Linked DNA regions of Diceros bicornis minor. The protein of the gene in region 1 purifies or fractionates together with the protein of each later gene. This does not show direct contact. Links are inferred from orthologs where the notes say so. Each region holds a gene or a part of one and is shown in the gene's direction. Other genes may lie near its edges. The genes, in order: SYTL4 and RAB3A.

The links.
Region 2: the proteins of SYTL4 (region 1) and RAB3A purify together in Homo sapiens (affinity purification with mass spectrometry; 3 studies listed by BioGRID and IntAct, counting the BioPlex papers as one, with this or other methods). This does not show direct contact. The link is inferred for Diceros bicornis minor from reciprocal best matches to the Homo sapiens genes SYTL4 and RAB3A.

The regions. Positions count from the first base shown.
Region 1 is NC_080781.1:93,785,927-93,797,452, reverse strand, and holds the start of SYTL4 (synaptotagmin-like protein 4), read left to right. Parts: upstream 1-6,097; 5' UTR 6,098-6,185; intron 6,186-6,296; exon of another isoform or gene 6,297-6,774; intron 6,775-11,526. UniProt on the Homo sapiens protein: Modulates exocytosis of dense-core granules and secretion of hormones in the pancreas and the pituitary. Interacts with vesicles containing negatively charged phospholipids in a Ca(2+)-independent manner.
Region 2 is NC_080759.1:5,872,123-5,883,992, reverse strand, and holds RAB3A (ras-related protein Rab-3A), read left to right. Parts: upstream 1-4,455; 5' UTR 4,456-5,212; coding exon 5,213-5,545; intron 5,546-6,605; coding exon 6,606-6,724; intron 6,725-7,596; coding exon 7,597-7,721; intron 7,722-8,578; coding exon 8,579-8,769; 3' UTR 8,770-9,392; downstream 9,393-11,870. Other genes in the region: MPV17L2 (mpv17-like protein 2), read right to left, coding at 9,523-9,702, 10,298-10,426, 10,540-10,616, 11,333-11,503. UniProt on the Homo sapiens protein: The small GTPases Rab are key regulators of intracellular membrane trafficking, from the formation of transport vesicles to their fusion with membranes.

The DNA.
Region 1 (11,526 bases):
AGTAATGGTTTTCTTTCCCCCAGAAATGCTTTTATTAGAATGAATGAACACCCAGAATAAATCTTTGACTAGGTCTTAAAAGTTTTCGGCCTTGCATTATCAACCTCCAAAAAACAAACCAGTCCTCGTCCTGCACTTACTTAGTTTTGGCCATAACCACAAAGGACCCATCCTCAATACAATTCAGTACATTTTTCCCTGACCTGGACTCTCTTCTTAAATCAAACAAAAAAATCTGCAATTGAGATCTGCATACAATTCTATGCCACTTCCCCCTCTAAGATTGTCCTTCTCCTTTCCCCCTACCCACCCTCTCTTTTCAAGAGTATAAGTAGAATATATAAAGAACTCTTAGAACTCAATACTAAAAAGACAAATAACAATTTAAAAATGGACAAAGGATTTGAATAGGCATTTCTTCAAAGCAGATATACTAATGGCTAATAAGTACATGAAAAGATGGTCAACATCATTAGTTATCAGGGAAATGCAAATCAAAACTACAGTGAGATATCACTTCATATCGAATGGATGTCTATAATCAAAAAACCAATAATAACAAGTGTTATGGAGGATGTGGATAAATTGGAACCCTCATACATTGCTGGTGGGAATGTAAAATGATGCAGCCACTTTGGAAAGCAGTCTGGTGATTCTTCAAAAGGTTAAACACAGAGTTACCATATGACCCAGCAATTTCACTCCTAGGTATATACACAAGAGATTTGAAAACATATGCTCAAAAAAACTCATACATGAATGTTTGTTTGAGCATTATTCATAAGAGTCAAAATGTGGAAACAACCCAAATGTCCATCAACTGATGAATGGATAAGCAAAATGTGGTATATCTATATAGCGGAATATTATTCAGCCATGAAAAGAATGAAGAATGATTCTAGTGACGTCACCAAAAATGATGGAGTAGAGAACTCCAGGGATCCTTGAATGACTATAGTTAGCTACTGAATAAGGTCCAAATTGTTTAAAATGACTCACAAGACCTCTGAAGTTCTAATCCCTACTCATCCGTTATGGATTGAATTGTGTCCCCCCAAAATTCATGTGTTGAAGTCCTAACCCCCCAGTACCTCAGAATGTGTCCTAATTTGGAAACTGGGTCATTGCACATGTAATTAGTTAAGTGAAGATGAGGTCATTAGGGTGGACCCTAATGCAATATGACTGGTATCTTTATAAAAGGGGGAAATTTGGACACAAGGACATATGCAGAGGGAGAATGCCACGTGAAGATGAAGGCAGAGATTGAGGTGATGCTTCTCTAGGCCGAGAAATGCCAAAGATTTCCAATAGACCACCAAGAGCTGGGCGACGGGATTAGAGTTTTCCTCACAGCCCTCAGAAAGAACTAACCCTGTAGACATGTTGATCTCAGACATCTAGCCTCCAGAACTGTGAGCCAACAAGTTTCTGTTATTTAAGCCACTCAGTTTGTGGTACTTTGCTATGGCAGTCCTAGCAAATTAATACATCATCTTTCTAGCCTCATCTATCATCACTTTTTTCTTGCACTTTATGCTCCAGCAATACCAACTTCCTTGTACTTCCTTTGTATAGACCTAGAGTTTCCAGCCTTTTTGTTTTTGCTTTTGCTATTCTTCTGCCTGGAATGCTTGGAATGCCTTTTTGGTCTAGCTAATTTCTATTCATTCTTAAAGATTCAGAGAAGCTATTACTTTATCCAGGGACCTTTCACTGACCACTCCCCACCAAGCTGGTGTAAGTGGCCTTCCTAGGTGCTCCCACATATCCTGTGTATCTCCCAGCTTTGCACTTTCCACACTATATTATAATTTTATGTTTGTGGTTTGCCTCCCCCCATGTCATGCAATAAACTGTGAATTCCTTGAGGAAAGGGTCACCAAAATCCCAGTGCCTGGCACAATATGCTTTGCACATAGTAGAAGCTCGAACATATCTTTGAATGAAAGGACTTTTTTTCAGTGTTTATTCATCTTCTTTCTTCCCATAGCACCTATAAAGTGCTTTGCATATAATGGGTGCTCAGTACATCTCGACTGGTGGTTCTCAGCTAAGGATATTTGGCAATATCTGGAGACATTCTTGGTTGTCACTACTGGCATCTAGTGGGTAGAGGCCAGAGATGCTGCTAAACATCCTACAATGCGCAGGATAGCCCCCACAACAAAGCGTTACCTGGCCCAAAATGTCAATTGTGCGAAGGTGGAGAAACCCTGATCTTGATTGAATAAGAGACTGAATCTACTTTTTACACCCTATACTCACTGAGGACCATTAGTGCACTAAATTTGCTTTGTCAGGAAGCCTGCATTTTTTGTTGTTTTTTACAAAAGTAAACTGTTACCCAACAGGAAATGAAGAGGTAGTGTCCTGGCATCCAGAATTAAGACTTTGGCGGGGCCGGCCCCATGGCTTAGCGGTTAAGTGCGCGTGCTCCGCTACTGGCGGCCCGGGGTTCGGATCCCGGGCGCGCACAGACGCACCGCTTCTCCGGCCATGCTGAGGCTGCGTCCCACATACAGCAACTAGAAGGATGTGCAACTATGACGTACAACTATCTATTGGGGCTTCGGGGAATAAAAAAAAAGGAGGGAGATTGCCAATAGATGTTAGCTCAGAGCCGGTCTTCCTCAGCAAAAAGAGGAAGATTAGCACGGATGTTAGCTCAGGGCTGATCTTCCTCACAAAAAAAAAAAAAAAGACTTGGCAATTGAAAAAAGTACTTGATCAATAGAAAAACAGATATATAAGTTACAATATCTTTACGCCTGGAATGCTCTATAGCAGTAAAAGTGAATGAATTAAAGCTACATATATCAATAGGGATAAATCTCCTAAGCATAATCTCGAGTGAAGATAGCAAATTGCAGACCGTACGTACAGAGTGATACTACCTATAGTTTTGGGATAGATACATATGTGGCAAATGTATAAAGACATACATGCAAATGATCAAGATAAAATCTGAGACAGTGAAAACCTTAGGATGGAGGTGTATACAGAGGGCTTCTGTTGTATTGGTAATGCCTTATTTCTTAACCTGGGTAGTGGGCATATCCTTGTTATATTATTCTCTATATATTCATGTACTTTTGAAATATTTAATACTTTTAAGAATGAGCAATTGCTCAATACTGAGGCATCCTGTCACCTGGGGCTGAGGAAAATCTCCATCTTATTAGTTTGCACCAGCCAGAACTTCCTCAGTGTGGCAAAGTTGAACAACTCATTGAAGCCAGTCATTCACTATGAGACAGCAGCTTACATACTATACATAGGATAATAATCCATAAGTTCCTGTTTACATTGCTGCACAGGATACTGCCTGGGTTTGCTTGCATTGGACCCCTCTCAGTATTTGGCATAAGAATTTGAGCACAGAGTCCTTGTGGCAAACAAGGAGGATCAAACAGAAATGGACAGCAGTTTGCAAAGCACAGAATCTATGTGAACAGGCCATTGACGAACTTTGTTTTGGTTCATTGTTTATGCTTGTCTCTGTGTATTTCCAGCTGGTTCAGTGAGACTATCTTAGAGTAAAGGAGTCAGATCCTCACATCCTCTTTAATGAGGTGGACCTTGGCGAGTGAGAAACTGCACACATAGAAAAAGGTAAAAAACCTAAAATAATATCTGGAAATTTTGCTGAAGAATAAGGGGATTGGACTAAATGTTTTCTGAAGTCCCTTCCGGCCAAGGGTGTTTCCAGTTCCTGCCAAGTACCAACTGCAAAGAAGGAGCAGAGAAGAGCTTGGTGGGAGTTTCCACAGGTCATGTTAGAGAGGTGGAACGCATTCAAAGCCTAGGGCTGAGCAGAGAGGCCCCAAGGACTGAGCTGGCAAAGCTAGACAAAACAAAAGGATTTCCTTTTTGAAGTGGTTTCTTCACACTTCAGGCTGCAGGTGGGTATTGAAGGGCTAAAGGATGGAAAAAAACTGTGGGGAGAGCCTGAGAGCTGAATTTTACTGTTTTGTCTGCCAGAATTAAAATGATTTTTCTCTTTCCCTTTTAATATTTTTCAAAAAAGATGTTTTATATTATCAAAGCCATATATGCTCATTATAAGAAAGTTGAAAAATACAGAAAAGTAGGAGGAAAATGAAAAATTCATTTAGTTCTACCACCTAGAGATAGCCACTATTAATATTTTGCATATTTCTTTCTAGTCTTTTTTCCACACCTATCCCCCAATTTCCATTAATTATTGTGACAATATTTTATATTAAATGTTGTATCCTACTTTCAATTAATATTAGACATAAGCATTTTCCTGTCATTATGAACTATGTGTAAATACCAGTTTTGTTGGCTATTATTCCATCGTATGATTATACTATAATTTACTTAACCATTGAACCATTAGGTTTTTTTTTCTAGTATTTTATTATTGTAAGTAATACTAGGATTAACATTGTTGTAGAAAAAGTTTGCAAATGTCTCTGTTTCCTTAGGACACATTCATTCATTCATTCTACAAATATTAGTGAGGGCCTACTATGTGCCAGGCACTATGCTAGGTGCCAAGTTTCTAACTTGGATGGCATATTGTCATTTACTGAAATAGGAAACACTGGAGGAGCAGCAAATTTAAGAGGAAAGATGGTGGGTTCAGCTTTAGATGTGTTGAGTTTGAGGTGCCTGCCAAACATGCAAGTGGACATGTCAAGAAAGCAGAGCTCAGTGAAGAGGTCTGGACAGAGCTATAAAATCACAGTCGTGGTCATATAGATGATAATTAAAGCCAAGTGAGTGAAAGAGATCATTTAGGGAGAGAGTATATGTAGCCCAGTCCTGAGAGTGTCCAGCTTTCAGAGGTTAGATAACAGAGTGGAATCTACAAAGGAGACTGAGGAGAGGGCAAAGGGGTAGGAGGAAAACCAAAAGAGTGTGGAGTCATAGAGGCCACAGGAAGACTTTTAAGGAGGAGAGAATGGTTAACAGCGTTAAATGTAGGAGAGAGGTCAAGCAAGATAAGGAGGGAAAAAGCCTTATTTATTTATTTATTTATTGACATAGATTTATTGACAGGGAGGTCATTGGTTGGGTATCTTGTTGAGCACAATTTCAGTGAAGTGTTGGGGAAGGAAGCCAAATTGCTGAATGAGAAGTAAGGGAATGGAGATTGCAAATGTACCTGTAAAGTACCTTTTCAATAAATTTGCCCTTAAAGAGGAGCTGGAGAGGTACCTAGGGTGTAGGGAGGACTTTTTTTTTAAGATGCCAGAGATTTGAGCATGTTTAATTGCTGATGACAGATGAGAGGGACTTGAGCAGGGTTAATGGCTGATGAGAAAAAGAGAGGGAGAGCAAAGGTGGGAGAGAGAGAAGGGGAAAGGAATCAACAATTACTAGGTAGATATAAACATTTAAAAATCTATTGATATATATTGGTCATATGCTTTTTAAAAGGATTTTTAACCAACATACACTCTTCCCAGGAATTATGTTAGAGCTTGTTTGGTGGCCACTTTGTCATCATTAAGTGTTATAAAAACAAACAAACAAAAAAATCCTTTGCCAAAGAATCTCATTATTGTTCTCATTTGCTCTTCTTTGATTACTAGTGAGTTGAATATTTTAACCAGTTGTGTTTGTGGGTGTGAAGTTAGTCTACGTCTTTACCCCAAATGTTTCTATTTTAGACAGACTTGTATTTGCCATAAAAGTATGAAAGTCAAAGGATCAGAATAGTATCATATTTTATCTTCTAAAATTTTATGGTCTAGACTCTGCATCGTCTTAGACACGAATCCCACTGTACACGACAGTTTGACAACTTTTGGCTCAGCAGAGCGCAAGAGGCAAGTGATTTATCATCTGAGAGAGTGACCACAGATGGAAGTAAAAGGCGGGGCAGGTCTAGTGTTAGACCCCTATCTCCAGTCCTCAAGCTCCCTTTTCTAACCCGGGACGACATTTCTCCAGTGCCTTAAGGCTGTGGCTCCCAGAGCTCCCCTTCGGGTGGCGCGGCCCCCTACTAAGGAGCCCGGAGCGCTGTGCGGCCCCTTTAAGAGCCCAGCTCCTCCCCGCTCTAGGGAAAGTTGCAGCTTTTTCCGCCTCCCGGGAGGGTGAATAGGGCAGGCCGCCGGAGCGGGGCTGCGGTCTTCTCTGAGTCGGAGACCCTGCCCTGAATCCGGCACTGGGACATCTCGCCCTCTCGCGGCACCTGTTGCAGGTGACAGGTAAGTCCGCGGCTAGCGACCGCCCCTTCGCCCTGGGTCGGGGCTCCTCCTGAGCCCCTAGCCCCTTTTCGCTGCCCAAGCGCCCCCACCCCCATCTCGGGGAGCCGCGCCCTCCCCTCCCCCCTTCCGCTCTCCCACTCTTTCCTCCTCCCCGGCTCTAGCTGACCGCCCGTCCCCTCTGCCCTGTCCGCCTGTCTGGACCGCACGCCCACGCTTGGACTCCGGTCTGCTTGGGCCGGTTCCTCCCCGCCACTTTGCTGTCTCCTGGGCCTCTGCGGGCCCTTGCCCCGGCCCACCCGTCGCTAGCGCGGGCTGTGCCCCTCCGGCTCTGTCTCCTCTCTGGCTCGCCTCGTGCCGGGCGGCTCGGCTTTTCCCGCCCGCCGGCGCTGGGGCCGCCCGAGCGCTGGCCCTGGCGGCGGGGGTGCGGCCGGCTGCCTAGCGGGCACTGCGCCCTCGGAGGCGTCGAGTCACCTTCTCCGCGGTTCCTCTCGCAGCGCCCGGCCCGTCGCGCGGGGTCTCGGCCCCGCACTGCTTCCGGACCTTGGACGTCGTGGCGTCGGCTTCCCTGGCCTCGGTCTGTCCGCCTCAGGTAAGGGCTGGAGGCCAGTTGGCCCCGAGTCCTGCCTCAGTGGACTCCCTCTGCGCTAGGGACTGGGGACCCGGCTGTGTGCCCTGGAGCCGAGCAGCTTTATCTTGCGACCCTTCAGGCAGGCTGCGGGGATTTGCTCCTGGAGGAGGGTCCCCAGAACCCTTAGAAGGGGCACAGAACGCTTTTGTCTTCTGTGATACTTTGCAAAGGGGCAGAGAGATGGGCCTCCAGCCATTCACGTGGGATGAGATGGTTGGGGTTTTTGGTAGTGAACTCATTTGGTTAGAATTCTGGCGACTTGAACAGGTGGTCTGTTTCTCATTAACTAACAGTTTCTTTCCCCAGCACCCTGCTTCTTCAGGACGAGAGGACCTAGCATTCCAGAATACTGCTTTTGGCAGAGTTGACCTTAGACCTTGTACATTTGTGACAGAAATTAGTCTTCAGTACATCCTGGACCTCCTATTTTTAACTGGCTTCTTTTCTGCTCTTTCAGCTCCCCACCCCCACCCCTCATAAATCCATTAATATTAAGGTGTTAATGACCTAATGTGTTTACCCGCTGGTCTGTGGAAAGAACAATGTTTAATGCAAAGAGTTGAGTCCCTGATGAAGGTTGTTGTCGTCGTTTTTTAGCACCTGCTGGAAATCCTAGTGGAAAAAGACCACTAACTTGGCTAACCAAATGATTTCCCTGGCAGGGAATGAACATTTCTGATAACATAATTTCAGGTGCCTCACTCTAGGTGGGAGCAGTGAAATGGAGTTTGGAGGCCTGTTCAGGCATAATCTGTGAGTGAGGGTAGCTTTCTGGTTGATGCTCTCTGGGCTTTTCCCCTTCAAGGCTGCTACTAATAATGGTTAGAATCCATTGAGCTGGGCACTGTGATAAATTCTATACATAACTATCTCATATAATCCTCATGGTAACTCTGCACTACAATTGTAACCATGTTATGGTGAAAAGGAGACTCAGAGGTTGAGTGCCTTGCCCCAAATCACCCAACTGGTGAAGGGCAGAGCTGGGCCATCTGACTGCAGGGCTTGTGTTCTTATCCCCTGTCACACCACCTGTGCTGTCTTGGATGTTGGGAACACTAAATAGCTCATAGGTGAGGACTAAGTGATTAAAAATTTCCCTTCCAAGCTGAAGCATAAGTTTTGGTCCTTGCCTCCACCTCAGATGCACTGCGGAGACTTTTGACTACTTACCTCACTGGTATTTTCCCCACTTGCCCACTTTACTTCCAACATGGGGCCAATTGCCACGTTGCCACTAAAAGCACACACCCCTGAGTGTACGCGGCTGAATGAAGCCTCTGGGGCACTCAGCTCTGTAGTAATTGTCCTGAAGTTAGGAGAGGGTAACTTTGGATCCTAGGGCTGACTCAACTCCTTCCTTTCCTGCTGGCTAGGGGAGAAATGAGAGTGTGGGAAGTGATAAGGATTTCCCAGCAACCAGACCAGGGAGCCTGAGGGTGAGTGTGTTCTTGGGATGGATGGAGTACCTTAGGCAGGGACAGTCCAGGAGAAAATGTCCTCCCTGATCCCATTTCTGGGCCTTTGCTCAAGCTGCTCCTTTTTTTTTCCCCCTGAAAAGATAACTTGCCATTCAGACTCACTCCTCTGCCATTGATTCCTATTCATCTCTCAAGATTTAGCTTTAAAGTCACTTCCTTTGGGACAACCTTACTGAACACACAATTCCTTCCCCTAAGCAGAATTACCAGTTATCCTGTGTCCTAAAGCACTTTGTTTACACCTTAGGAAAGCCCTAACACCTCTCTTAGTTGTTTTTCACCTGCTTTCCCTAACCACCCTATTTAAACTTGCAACCCCTTCCCTGAACATTCTATATGCCTCTTCCCTATCTTATTACTCCAGTGTAACATATTGTGTATTTTATTCATTTTTCTTTTTTATTGTCTGTTCCTCTCCCCACTCCATAATGTAAATTCCATGTGGGCCGGGATTTCTGTCTGTCTTATTCACCAGTGGATCCCAGCACCCAAAACAGAGCCTGGCACCTCATAGGTGCTTACTAATATTTGTTAAATGAATTAATGAATGACATGACCGTTCTAGGAATTGGGCCTCTTTTGTGCTCTCCTGGACCTGAAACTAAGTGTCCCCAGTCAGTCACCCTATAGCTATAAGGTTGCCTCAGGCCCAGTTCTCACACAGCTTTCCTTCTGCTGAGTTTTGCTTTCAGATTATATTCCTGATGACAACTTGGACCTAGTTGGAAGTACTTCCTCTCTTTTTTTAAGGCATGAGTCTCTGAATGGAAACTTCTAAAGTTTAAAGTGGAAATGTAAAGATGCTGTGCTTCTTGTGGGTGGGAAGGGGGGCTGCACTGAGAGGAAGGGACATGGATTGTCAGATGTTTTGAGGTGTTTTAGGCATTTGGTGTAAGCGTAAGTAAGAAGCAGGTGCAAGTTACTGTGCAGTAGGGAAGCGAACAGCCCAAAAGGATAAAAGATGCCGCGAATTAAGCTTCTGACCGCAAGTCACCCTTAGCCTTTTAGGCATGAGGTAGTTATCGGATTATGAATTTTATGAAAAAGCCATTGCTGAGTGCTACTTGTGTAGTACTTGACTAGTTTTATACTAGGAGAATTATACAGTGTGAGGAAACCACTACGTAACATAAAAGAAAAAAAGTTCTATTACGTTTAAATGTATTTTGAAATATCCAGAAAGAAAAAAAGGCTAGAATCCCTTAAAAGACAGGCTTGGAAGGAGTTGGGCCCCCTGTTATGGTGGTAAGTATGTGATTCTCCACCATCTGATTTATGTTAACTTCTTTGAAACTCAAGTTTGTACAAAAAACTTCTGCTCAGCCCCTTCTTCTACTAAATTTATCTCCCCAACTTCTGAACATTGGAGTGACGCAGGGCTCAGTCTGTGGACTTTTCTCCATCCAGAATCTTCCTAGAAGCACTCCTCCAGCCCCATGGCTTTAAATACCGTCTATCTATACACCTCATCACTCCCAAATTTATGTCTCTGACCCAAGCCTTTCTTCTAAGCTGCAGCTTCATTTGTCCAGTGGCCTGTTTGACATCTCTACTTGGGTGTCATATAGATATCTCAAACGTAGCATGGCCAAACAGGACTCCTTATTCCTCTCACATCCCCAGCCCCTTCCCTCAGCCTCCCCTATCTCAGTAAAATAGCACTATCATCCATTCAGTTGCTCAGACCAAGAACCTAGGGTCACCCTTGATTCCTCTCTTTCACCCGCCCCCCGCATCCAATTCGTCAGCAAGTCCTGTTGACCTGACCTTCCAGCTGTGTCATATATTCTGCCACGTCTCCATCTCCTCTGCCTATCACTCTAGTCTAAGCCACTACAAGGTTGCAATAAACATCTTTGTACAATGCTCGAGGATGGCTATAGATATAGACATACACACACATAAATATTTCTGTGGGATAGCTTTCTAGTAGGAGAACTGTTGGGTCAAAGGATATGTACATTTAAAAATGTGAATGAGCATCGCCAAAGTGACATCCAAGAAGGTTTACACTCTCACCACTGAGACTGCTTTTCCTCAGGCCCTTGCTGAGGATGGACAGTCTTTTTAATTTTTGCCAATCTGATAGGTGAAAAATAGTATCTAACTGATTTAACTTGCATTTCTCTGATCACTAGTGAGGCTGAGTATCTTTTCATGTGTGTTAGCTATGTGTATTTTTCCTGAGACTTACTCTTTAATATCCTTTGCACATTTTTCTTTTGGGTTATATATTTAATTTGTTTATAAGAACAGTATATTTATTAGGAATATTTACCCATTGCCTGTTATATAGTGCAAGTTTTTTTCTCTCTAGTCTGTCATATGTCATAACTTTGTTCATGATGTGTACCCCTCTTGTAATAAGATAAAACACACTATAAAACATTTAAAAAACATGTTCATTAGATTTGGCAATTAGGAGGTCAATGACGACATCAGTGCTGCGGGAGGAGAGAAGGCAGATTGTAGAGGGTTGGGGAGTGAGCATGAAGAAGGACTGATAAGGAATATGGTATACAGTTTGAAGAGGCTTGGCTATGATGGGAAGGTGAGAGTGTTTCTTATAGACAGTAGGGCACAGGGGACAAGAAAATGTTGTTAATTTCATTTTGTTTTAAATATAGGAGAGAGATGAGCCCATTTATGTGTAGATGGCACAGACCTTGATGAGGCAGAGTCTCTGAGGAAGCAGGAGGGTGGGGGCTCCAGATTGAAAGAGGTGAAAAGATTGGCATTAGAGAAAGGGAGGTAGCTCTCCCATTGAGACAGAGCAATATATTTTTTCCTTAATATTTGTGGCAAGCCGGCCTGGTGAAGCTGTGAAGAAGGAAGGGGCTGTGGAAGGACAGGATTTTGAGGGAGGACCCATCTGACGAGAGTGATGAGGAGTTGGAATAGCATTTGAGAGGGGTGGAAAGAGGAGCTCTTTAGAAGCATATCATCCAGATACCACATCATAGTGAGTCAAGAAAGGCTTGGATAACTTGAATTTGTCTCTGCCCCAAGTCCCAGAACCCTGTATCCATTCTCTTCAGCGGCACTCGTCAGCCCAGGTGTAGAAACAGAATGTAGACAATCTAGTTTGGGGGATTTTTCTGGGTGGCTGTGACAGAAATATAAGAAGGCAGGAGATCAGACGGTGCTGGTGGAATAGTTGAATTGATGGACCACAGTGGCTTTCATATCTGTGACTATCTAAACCTACCTTGAACTCAAGTAATTCTTAAGA
Region 2 (11,870 bases), on another chromosome or scaffold:
AGGGGAAAGGAGGCCTCTGACCCTTCTTGCCAGTCATCGCCCGTTATGGGCCTCAGTTGCCCGTCTATGGCCTATCCTAGTCCTTGGGTAAACTTTGGTTGAGGGGTGGTGTCTGTGACCTCCCTGAAATACCTTAGAAAGTTGGGGCATTGAACATTTTCTGGGGTTAAATGAACCTTATTACACAAAATTATTACCGTGTCCATTTCGCGGATGGGGAAACTGAGGCGCAGAGCAATTCTATTGCCCGCTCTAGGCCCACAGCTGGGCGCTGGACGTGCGCCAGCGGCAGCCCCACTGCGCCTGGTTTGGTCGAGCTCTTCCTGGGGCAGGGGCGGCCTCTCGGCGAGCAGATGAGGCGGCTCGGTGCTCAAGTCTCGGGTTCGATTCCGGCCTCTGCAAGCCTCAGTATCCCCCCCGCGCCTCCCTCCCCGAGTGTGAAAATATATACATGCCACAGGCTTTGCAGCGGCTCCCGGCTTCCTCCCTCAATAATTCCACCGACAATTCCAGTCACCATCACAGCTAACGGGCAGATGCCACAGAGGGGGAATTAAAGGTCATCTGGGTCGGGAACTTGGTACCTTTCCTTCCAGACTTTTAAAAGGCAGAGATTTAGGGGATTTTTATTTATAATTTTTTCTCCCTCCCCCTTTACTTACAAGTAATACTTGTTCACTGTAGAGAATTTGGAAATAATGGAAATATATACAGAAAAAAATTAAATTATGCTATAACTTTACCCATAGATCATCTGCCTTCAGTATTTCATCTGATTTCCCTCTAGTTCTTTCTCCACCCGTTCATGAGAACATTCATACCTTCCCCTTCAATTTGGGCCACAGGCCATCCCTCCCTCTCCCCAGTACTGAGCACACTCCACCCACAATGGCTTTCCACACCCCAAGCACGGCCCTGCCCCAGGGCCTTTGCACATGCTGTGCCCATCACCTGGACTACTTCTCCCCCTCATCCTCACCCTTTGGGCCTCATCCCAGTGTCTCTTCCTCCAGGAAGCCCTCCCTGGCCCCTCCACCGTGATCCCCAGAGGCCTGGGCCAGGTCCACCATGCCATCTTCAGTGTCCCCCAGAGATGGACTTCGACAGCTTCAGCAAGTTGCTTCACCTCCCTGAGGCTTTGTCCTTTCCCCGGGTGAAATGGGCTCTTCGTGAGGACCACATAATTGCAGAGGGTGACATTTGAGGAGAGTGTGTCCTGAGCCAGGCACTGAGCCACCTGCTCAAAGTCAGATCAACTCTGCCTCTTTCTTCTCCCATTTCACAGATGTGGAAATCGAGGCCCATGCTCCAGGTCCCCAATTTTCTTCTGCTTGGGGCCCTTCCCAAGGGGCACAGTCCTTGCCTTTGTGGCCCATCCTAGACCCAAAGAGGAGGGTGGGAGAAGGTCTTCAGGGCCCCTAGAACTTTCAGCCCTGGTGAACTCCTAGCGTGACTCTCAGGACCTTGGTTTGCCTTCTGTTAAAGGAGAAAATGTTGCCTGTCCTACCTCCCTCCCAGAACTGGAGAGGGGCTGTCCTTCAAGCTTCTTTAGTGAGTTCCGGCCTCAGGACCTTTGCACGTGCTGCTCTGTCTGGAATGTTGTTCCCCTACCTCTCCCTGTGGCCAGCTCCTTCTCCTCCTCCCTCAGGTTTCTGCTTAAATGTCGCGTCTTCGGAGAGGTCCTCCCTAATCTCCCTGGCCAAAGTCACCCTCCCTCCAATCATTCATTCATTCATGTCATGCCATCACAGGGCACTGACTGTGTCCACAGGTCTAGGTGCTGGGGACACAATCCCTGCCTCTCAGAGCTCACAGATGCCTAATGGATAAATAAGTCAACATGATCACTTCTCATGGGGATGTGACAGGAGGTGACAGGGCAAAACTGGAATCTCTGGAAGGAGGTGGGTGTTGATCAGAGACCTCAAGGGGATGAGAGAACCAGACATGGGGTGGGCTGAGGGAACAGTGCTCCAGGCAGAGGAAACAGCAGGTGCCAAGGCCCTGAGGCAGGATTGCACCTAGAGCCAGAGGAGGGCGTGTCTGACTGGAGGAGAAAGATAAGACGTGGAGGTAGCTGGTGGGACCTGGGATTCCAGGAGGAGTCTGGACTTTACTCAGAGTGGGGTGAGATTTGGGAGAGTTTGAGGCCCTTCTCCCACTGGCTCTTTCCCCTGCCACGCAGGAGACCCACCCCCACAAATCCACAGTCCTGTCTCCCCCACCCCCACCCTGGCGCTCAACCATCCCTAATTCCAGAGCCGAATGCTGATTCTTAACAACATAGGCCTTCCGTTATTTTTGTTTTAAAATACAAAGTCGTCTGTGCAGAAGCTGGTGCATGTTGTTGTGGGCTTTCTCCCCACGAGAAAAAACGAGTAGGGACTTCCGAGCGCCATCCACGTACAAAGCCCGAGGAAACCTGCGTTAGGGCGGTCGGGGAGCTGAGCGGCCTCGCACGACCTCACCGCCAAGGGGCCGCGGCCGGGGCGGACCAGCCGCGCTTGGGGCCCCACCCAGAGCGGGGACTCCACTGCCGGTCTCTGCGTGGGGGGAGACTGTGGTGGATTTACTTTCATCTATTTTTTATGTCATTTTCCCAATTCTTTGCGGTGGGTTCGTGGTACTTCGATAGTCCAAGTGGGGGAGAGGGACAACGTTAGCCTTAGAAAAAATAGATTTCCCAAATGCAAGCGGAGCGGGAGCGACGTCCCTGCGCTTCCAGGGCGCTGGGGGCGGGGGCGGCCTCGAGGCGAGAAGCTATTCTGGTCTCCCGGCGCCTCCGCAGCTGGAGAGCCTTCTATAACCAGGACGAGCCCCGCCCCCGCCCCCCGCTCCATCCCTGCCTGCTGGGGAGGAATGGGGGGGGGTCAGCATTCTCCTGGGGCCGCACCCCCCCCCGCCGGGTCTGGGGACAGGAGTCGGGGGGCAGGGACCTAGGATGGGGGCCCGGGTCTCACTCTCCCGAGCCCCCCTCAATTCTAACTTTACCCCTTTAAGACTTGGGGGAATAAACGATGGAGCAACTCAGTCCCCAAAATCTCCATCTCTGAGTCTTGTTTCCCCAGGATGGAGGAGGGGTCTCTCCGTCCTCGCCTTTGGACTCAGGATCTGGGGTGGGTACAGCACGTCCCATCCCGCGTCTTTATTGTTGGGTCTTTGAACCTCGCTCGGACACTTCCTGTAACCGCAGGCTCTGGGGCTTTAGGGGACAGACCCTTTTCTGCCCTCCTTCCGCCTTTTCTTTGAATTTTTCTCTGGAAAATGGGGTGCACGGAGGGGAGGGGTTCCCGGAGCGCCCGCCAGCCCCTTCCTTTTTTCTGGGAACTGATGAGGAGGGGTGGCTCTCTGGACTCCTATTTCCTCTTTCTCCTTTTTTGTCTGAGAAACAGGGTGGAGCAGCTACCAGCCGGGCTCTCTTTGCGGGATTTACATCTCAGAAATTGGACGGGTCTCTCTTGACCCCTATTTACTCTTTTTGTTCTTTCGTACTTATTTGAACCCCATAATAGCGGACATGGAGCATCTGTCGGACCTCTGTTCCTCTCTTTTGAAATTGGAAGTAGGGGGCTTTTAACGAGAAGTCACAGCACCTAAGCCCGGACGGCGGCCGCTGCAGTCCCTGACCGGAGGTGGGCGGGGGCGGGGAAGTGGAACGTCCCCTGAAGACCCACGCTCGGCCAAGGCCTCAACCTCTCGGCTCTTCAACCACTCAGAAGCCACCATTGGACAGGGGAAGAGAGTGACGACCTCTATTGGCTATTCAGTCCGTCGCTCAAGCACTTAAGCCAGTGAGAAGGCGCCGCACAGCCACGCCTCCGTAACACGAAAGAGAGGCGGAGCCGGCAGGCGATCCTCCCCGCCTGCACCGCCCCCGCCCGCTACTGGGTGCGCACGCTGGGCCCCGCCCCATTTGCATGTCCATCTGCGCGGGAGCCCCGCCCCCCGGATCTGAGCGCGTCAGTGGGCCACATCGCTATGCGCGGCTCCGCCTCAGGATGGCGTCACGGCAACATCTGCATGTGAGGCCCCGCCCCGCTCTTTGCAGGACGTCACCGCGGACTGCAGGGGCCTGAGCCGCCGCCGCCGCCGCCGCGCAGCCCCACATCAGAGCACGGGGCCCCGTCACCGCCGCTAACAAAAAGTCGCCGCCGCTGGGGTCGCCACTGCATCGGTGCAGGGCAAGGTGAGCTCCCGGGCGGCCCGGTTCGCTTCGCTTCGAGCACCTACATAACCTTCATTTGACTGATGGGCTGGCGGGGGTGGGGGAAGAGGTTGGCGAGGGTTAAATGGCGGGGAAGGATGCGGCGGTCGCGGGTCTGGGAGAGGTAGGGCCCCGGCTTCCCCTACCTGCCGGATCCTCACCACTCCCACCCCCCCACCCCCGGCTCTGCGGCGGAGGGGGAGGGGAGGCGAATGCCTTGCGGGAAGCTGTGCGCGCGGGAGGCTCTGTGCGTGCGCGTGCGCGTGGTGTGCACACGCGTGTGCGCGTCCGCCTGTGCCGGCGGGTCTGTGTGTACCCTTGTTTGTGTGCCAGGGCATGCTCGTGTGACCCCGTGGGGGTCCGACCCAAGTGTGTGCGTGCTGCACGCGTGTGGAGGGAGACGCGTGGACTGTGCGTGTGCGTGCACGGCCGGGTGCCTACGTGCACGAGGATGCGTGCCCGTGTGGGTAACGTCTACACGCCTGCATGGGTGGAGGGCGCCGTGCGCACGGTGGGTTTGCACATTTGTGTATGCATTTAGGTATGCAGACAGGTGCCTGCGTCTCTGTCCTGTGCACCGAGTGTGTCCGACGCTCATATGTGCACTCGCATGTACGGGTGAGTGTGTGCCCTGACGTGTGCACACCCCGCCCCTATCACGTGATGCAGCCTCTTCAGCCGGAGCTCTCCCAGCCTGGGAGTCTGGGGGAAGGAGGGCTGCTGACGCGCGTCCCCGCGGGACTGTACACGAGTGTGCACGTGTGCCCGCGTGGCTGTGTTCTGAGGAACATGTATGATTGATGGGGGGCGGGGCCGGCCGCAGTCACCCGTCTCTGCGCGGTAGGGTTTAGGGTTACAGCCCGACCTGGGCTCAGGTCTGCTGGAGGGGGCTGCAGGGGTGTCCCCATCCCCGTCGCTCTGAGCTCCTCCCCTGAAACCTCTCGCCTTTCAAGGTCACTGCACGCCCGCCCTCTGCGGTGGGTCCCACCGTAGGTCCTGGGGCTCCTGATGGGCTCTCTGGAGCTCTGGGGTTCTCTCCGTCCTGTGCCTGGGCCTGGGCGGTTGGGGATGGAGGGAGACCCCTCACGCCCGCCTACGCCCCCGCACCCCCAGATGGCGTCCGCCACAGACTCGCGCTACGGGCAGAAGGAGTCCTCGGACCAGAACTTCGACTACATGTTCAAGATCCTCATCATCGGCAACAGCAGCGTGGGCAAGACGTCTTTCCTCTTCCGCTACGCGGACGACTCCTTCACCCCCGCCTTCGTCAGCACAGTGGGCATCGACTTCAAGGTCAAGACCATCTACCGCAACGACAAGAGGATCAAGCTGCAAATCTGGGTGGGTCCGGCCGGGGGTTCCTGGCTCCGTCAGTCTGGCTCCCCGGAAAAGCGGCCCCAGCTTGACTTATCTCTTTCCTGTCTGCATTCATCCATCCACGTGCTAGGCATTTATTAGGCACTTACTGTGTACCACGGGCTAGAGACATAGAAGAGAGTGCATCTGTTCTCCCATCGGCGCCTAATTGGTGCTCTCCAGGGGTAGGGCAGGAGCAAATCCTTCGTCCTTTCCTACCCTTCCTTGGGAGCATCACTTGGCCTGGTGCCTCAGTTTCCCCATCTTCAAGTTCTTTCATGTGAGCCTGTGTGAAGTTTTACTGAAGCTTGGCTCCCAGCCTCATCCCCAGGGTCCCCTGGCCTGAGGGAGCCCATTAAATCCCGTCAGAACCATCCCTTCTCTGCCCGCAGCCCTCCCCTGGCCCAGCAGGCCCGCCTGGGCTGTCCCTGCCCCTCCCCCATCTGCTCCCTGCCTCTCCTCAGCTCCTCACCGTCCCTCAAACATGCTGGCACAGCCCAGCTTCAGGGCCTGTGACAGGCCGTGCCCTCCACCTGGACAGTCTTCCCCCAGGCCCACACAGCCCTTCCTTACTTCCGCCGGGATTTTCAGCCGTGCCCCAGCCCACACTGCCCATCCTCGCTCAGCTCTATCTTCCTCCGCAGCCCTTACCACTCTCCAAAGATGGATCTGTTTTCTTCCTTTGCACGTGTTTGCTGTCTTTCCTGCACTGGGATGTCGGTTCCACAAGGGCAGGGATTTCCGTCCATTTTGTTATCAGCTGTGTCCTCAGTGCCCAGTGCCGAGTGTGGCACTGGTCAGCGCCCAGTGTATGTGCGTTGAATGAATGTGGGAACGATTCTGCAGGTAACAGACTCTGTAGGATGATGGAGCACCACGTTCTTGGCGCAAGGGCTGCTCACCTTCCCTGACCCACTGTGCCTCTGGGCGAGCCCCTGCTCCTCTCTGGCCCTCTCGGGGGCTGGACTGGACGATCTCAGAGCTCATTTCTACTCTGAGGAGCTTACATGTGGGTCCTCTCTGACCTCCTGCTCTTCTTCCCCAGGACACAGCAGGGCAAGAGCGGTACCGGACCATCACCACAGCGTACTACCGGGGCGCCATGGGCTTCATCCTCATGTACGACATCACCAACGAGGAGTCTTTCAATGCCGTGCAGGACTGGTGAGCACACCCCCATCCCCGCTCAGACCATCTTCTTCTTCTTTTTTTTTTTTTGTGAGGAAGATCAGCCCTGAGCTAACATCTGCCAATCCTCCTCCTTTTTGGCTGAGGAAGACTGGCCCTGGGCTAGCATGACCATCTTCCTCCACTTTTTATGGGACGCTGCCACAGCATGGCTTGCCAAGCGGTGCGTCGGTACACGCCCGGGATCCAAACCGGCGAACCCCGGGCCGCTGCAGTGGAGCGCGCACTTAACTGCTTGCGCCACCGGGCGGACCCCGCAGACCATCTTCTAAGCCAGGCTTGGTGCACAGCCCGGGGCACAGGCCAAGATGAGGGAGCCCCAGCCCCCCTGGCAGGAATGTAAATGACAATATTGGGTGTCCCAGCCCTGCTGTCAATCTATACTTATTAAAACAGGGTGGCACCAGCTCAAAATAATGAGAAGAAAGGATTTCAGGTAGAAAATGAAACTGTAAACATATAGGAAAAAAAATATGGGGGGTGGACAGAAAACATAAGGATGGTTTGCACAGGCCAGAGGATATAAACAGTTATATTTGTTGTCCAGCAGTAATGGTAAATTTTAGGAAAATTTGTGAATTTGCGGAGGAGGGAAAAATTCCTCTCTCCGGGGGGCAGGGGTCTGGGAAGGGTGGGAGAGGCTGTTAAAGAGGGATTTCCGCAACCAGGGGCCCGCTCGAGCAGACACCAGGAGAGAGCAGAGTGCTCCGGCCAAAGGCTGCAAGGAGGCGCGGCGCCAGCCACGGTCGGGGTCGCGGGGAGGTGGGGCTGGAGGGCTGAGCGAGGGGCAGATGAGGCAGGAGGGTGGAGCTGGGACCCTCCAAGGCCTAACCCTCACGTCACCCCAGGTCAACCCAGATCAAGACCTACTCGTGGGACAATGCCCAGGTGCTGCTGGTGGGGAACAAGTGTGACATGGAGGACGAGCGGGTGGTGTCATCAGAACGCGGCCGGCAGCTGGCTGACCACCTGGGTGAGTGCCCAGCAGGGCTGGACACCTACAGGCTAGAAAAGGGAGACAGGCCCTGCAGGGAGGGGACACCCCCCGCCCCACAGCAAAGCCAGGACAGGGCCTGGGTTCGAATCTAGACAATTCACTTCCTGCAAACTGGCCTTGATCCAGGAGCCATCTGAGGTAGATCTGGGTGGCTTTGTAGGAGTTCACTATGCAGAAGTTACTGATTCATTCTGACACCTTCACGGCCTAGCCTCGTGCTGGGAGTTGCTGGGCCCCCGAGAGGCCTCCAGTCTTGTGGGGTAGAGGGAGGGACTTGGGCTGGGAGAGCCAGGCTCTGCCTGCTGTAGATATGACTTCCTGGGGCAGGTGGGGCACTGCATCTGGTGCTTGAAGAAAGGGTGGTCTTTCAGGCAGAGGAAACAGCTTAGGCAAAGGCCAGAGGTAGGAAACATCCTGTGTGTTTTGGCAAATAATTTTACACGGCTGGAATGCGAGGGATCACTTGGAGGAAATGTGGCCTGAACCACGTGCTGAGGGCAATAGGGAACCATGGAGTGTGTGTGAGCAAGGGAGGGCACGGCTGGATGTGAGTGTAGGTGCTGCCAGGGCCAATGCATGGGGCTAGGATGGAGGGTGGGAGCAGGGAAGTGGGTCTTGCCAGAGCCCTGAAGACAATGAAAAGGGCACAGTTTTAGGTAGAGAAAGAAGTGCAGGAAATACAGGGCTGACCCAGTCCAATGTTGCTTCCTCATGGGACTTGTCAGTGCCTTCATCGTGCAGTCGGCACTGGGAATCTCCGGTTGTTCCCTGGCCTCAGAGCTCTCTGCGAGTGGGAGTACCAGGGCCCTCACCCTTCCTGTCCGTGACCGCAGGGTTCGAGTTCTTTGAGGCAAGTGCCAAGGACAACATTAATGTCAAGCAGACCTTTGAGCGCCTGGTGGACGTCATCTGCGAGAAGATGTCCGAGTCGTTGGACACGGCCGACCCCGCGGTCACCGGCACCAAGCAGGGCCCCCAGCTCACGGACCAGCAGGCACCCCCACACCAGGACTGCGCCTGCTGAGACCTGCCCTGCGCCCCACCCTCCCGGGGTCTGACCCGGCCCCCACCGACGGCGGTTTGAGACCCCTGCCCCAGCGTGGCCCGTCACCTTATTTATTATCGTAGCTATTTATTTATTTATTGGAGATGTCCCCCAGGGGCTCGGGCGCCCCACCCACCCATGCCCCACCCTGTACATACACCCCTGTCCCCACTCTGCCGTGGTGTGTCGTGGCCCTGTGAACTCACCGCTCACTCTCCTCTCGAGACCCCACGTTTTTTTTAATTCACCCCCATCAAGAGTTATAGGTTTTGAAGAGGGGGGCAGATGACACCCCAGGGCAGGCTGATTGGGTGATGGGAGGTGGCCAGGCCTGCCAGCCCCTTGGCTGTGACCCAGTAGGCGGAGGCCGCTGTGGGCATCTCATCGTGGACCGCGGGTGGGTCAAAGCTAGGCAACCGCCTGCCTGGCTCCTGGTCCCCAGTCTCACCTTTTTTTGGAGGGGGCGCTGCTGTGTGGGTACTCACCACCCTGGGACCCCCCCACCAGACCTCTTCTGATGTCATGAGTGTCAAATGTGACCCCCTGCCCCCCCAGGAGATGTCATGACAACACTACACACACCCAATAAAGCGAATGGACGACGCCGTGTCTCTATGAGCGCCGGCCCAGCGCTGGCTTTGGTCACCCACAAGGTTTTCAGTTACAGAGAGAATTTAATAGAATCTCCACAGTCCGTGACAGAGGAGGAGACTGGAGGCTGCCTGGCCCTGCCTATGGCCCCAGAGCCTGCGAGCGACTCCAGGCAGGCTCTGCTGAGAGGGGACAGGTCATTTCCCCACCTGGGACCCAGGGCGTGGGGGAGCCCATAGCAGTATTGAGGGGTTGGGGCTTGGGACTGGCTGGGGCCCCATGCTGAGCATGGGACATCTCCGTCACTGGTCGCTGAGGCTCCTGGTGAGAAGGGTGGAGATGACTCCATCTTCATGGTTGTGTTCCAGATGGGGAAACTGAGGCCGGGTAGTGGGCAACCCAGCCAGGGGCCCAGGGATTGGGGTGAGGCTGGACTCAGCCCAGGACCCTGACTTGGCCTGCTGTGGGGCCCGGTCCCCTTCCTGCCCAGGCGGATGGTCAGCTGGGGGTCAGTCTTGCCCTGTCTGGCATCCGGTCGGGGAGTGGGGCAGCTCAGCCTGCATGGTGCCCAGGGCCCCGCAGCCTGGGGGCGCCCGGGGGCCCGGGGTCTGTCTGCACAAGAGGGTGTGGTCAAACACCCCATTAGGCCCCTCCTCACCCAGCCCTCCTCCATCTGTCCCGGGGCTGGCGTCAGCCTCCCTGGACAGAGGTGACAGGGACCCAAGGTCACATCACAGCAGAGCTAGGCTCAGTCTGAACCCTCTTGGCCGTCAGCTCCCTGTCTGCCCACCGTGGGGTGCGGGTGTCATGGGCACAGGAGGCCCTCACCCTGGAGGATGGTTGTACTGCCCTCTGCGGCTCACACGTGTGGCCCCTGAGGAGTCCCCTGGGGGCCTGGGCCGCCCACCGCGCTCACCCGGTACTTCAGGTAGGAGAGGTATGTGTCCCAGCCCAGCGTCAGGCCGTTGATGTAGGTGACTCGGAACGGGGCGGGCACGAAGAGGAAGTTCACCAGCTGCGCAGCGGGCCACACGCACCAGTCGGCCTGCGGGGCGGGGCGGAGTGCGGTGAGGGGCGGGGGCCTGGAGGGACCTGGGCGTGGCCAGTGGTTGCGGGGGGCGGGGCTAGCGCGCGGGTGTGGCCTGCGGGCACGCCCACCTTGTAGAATTCCCAGAACTTGTCCCGCAGCTCCTGGCAGCTCTCATCCAGGGTCTGGCCCTCCAGGCAGCCAAGGCCTGGGAAGGAAACCAAGAAATGAGGATGTCAGAGGCTGCGGAGTCCCGATGACGGCGCGGCGGGACAGGACCTCTGAAGGACGGAGTGTCCCAGGCCGAGGAACCAGGATGCTCAGAAGCCTTGATGGGGGAAAGGCGGCCCAGCAGGGTGGCCGGTGTGGGGACACAACACAGAACAAGTGGTCCCAGTAAGGGAGAGAGGTTCTAAACAGGTGCTCCAAAGGAAGGCGACACCCTTCCCGAGGCTAGGCTGCTTCACTACCTGCCCTTCATCCATGCAGAACCGAGCCTGGGGGTGGGGAACGAGCCAAGCGCCGGGCTCACTGCGCCCCATCAAACCCAGCAATCGTCCTGGCCCCAGCAACTCTTCCTTCAGCCTTAGGGCCTTTCCATGGGCTGTTCCTCCCGCCTGCTGGCTCCTTCTTCAAGTCTCGGCTGAGTGTCCTCTTCTTTGGGAAGCCCTCCCAACCACTGCCCAAGACAGCCACATGAGACACTGTCCTCGCCCCTTCTACACTTTCCACCATTGTCTGTGATTCTGCCACTCACGCCCGCCCCCACCGGGTCTATCCGGTCACCACTGTGACCTGGCGCCCAGTCCAGGGCCACCCACACAGGAGACACATCTGAAGTGCACCTCAACACTCTTAACACAAAGCTGGCTCTGCCCCTCCTGACCTACGAGGGGCCAAGCCCAAGCGCACAGGGCTCCTTACCCAAGAAGTACCAGACGCCCAGCAGGGGAGAGGCCACCAGCTGGTCCACGAGGACCTTCCTGAGGACGTTGGAGAGGCCGCGGAGGCCGGACGCGGGGAGCAGGCGGTCCAGCCAGAGGTACCAGTAGTGCAGGAAGGGGCCCATGCTGCAGCCCACCGCAAACATGCTCGCTGAGGGCGCCCGAAGAGTCAGGGGCGTCAGGCGGGCAAACTCCCAATCCACTCCCTCCCTGGCTCAGACCTGGGTAAGCCTGACCCCGCCAGGGGCTCCTCTCAGATCTTCTTACCTCCTTCCCTCACCACCCTGCGGGGGGGGGTTCTACCATGACCCCTACCCAAAGGAGGAAACTGAGGCACAGCGGGTAGGGAAGTGTGAGGCAAGCACGCGACCCCAGGCTGGCCGGTCCAGGGCGCTGTCCAGGGCGCTGCGCCCTTGACAACCGGGAAGCCAGGGGAGCGGACGAGGGGGCCCAGGGAAGCGGACCCGGGGGGTGGTTGGGTGGGATGGAGACCCCCGAGTGGGGGTGGAAGAGGGTGG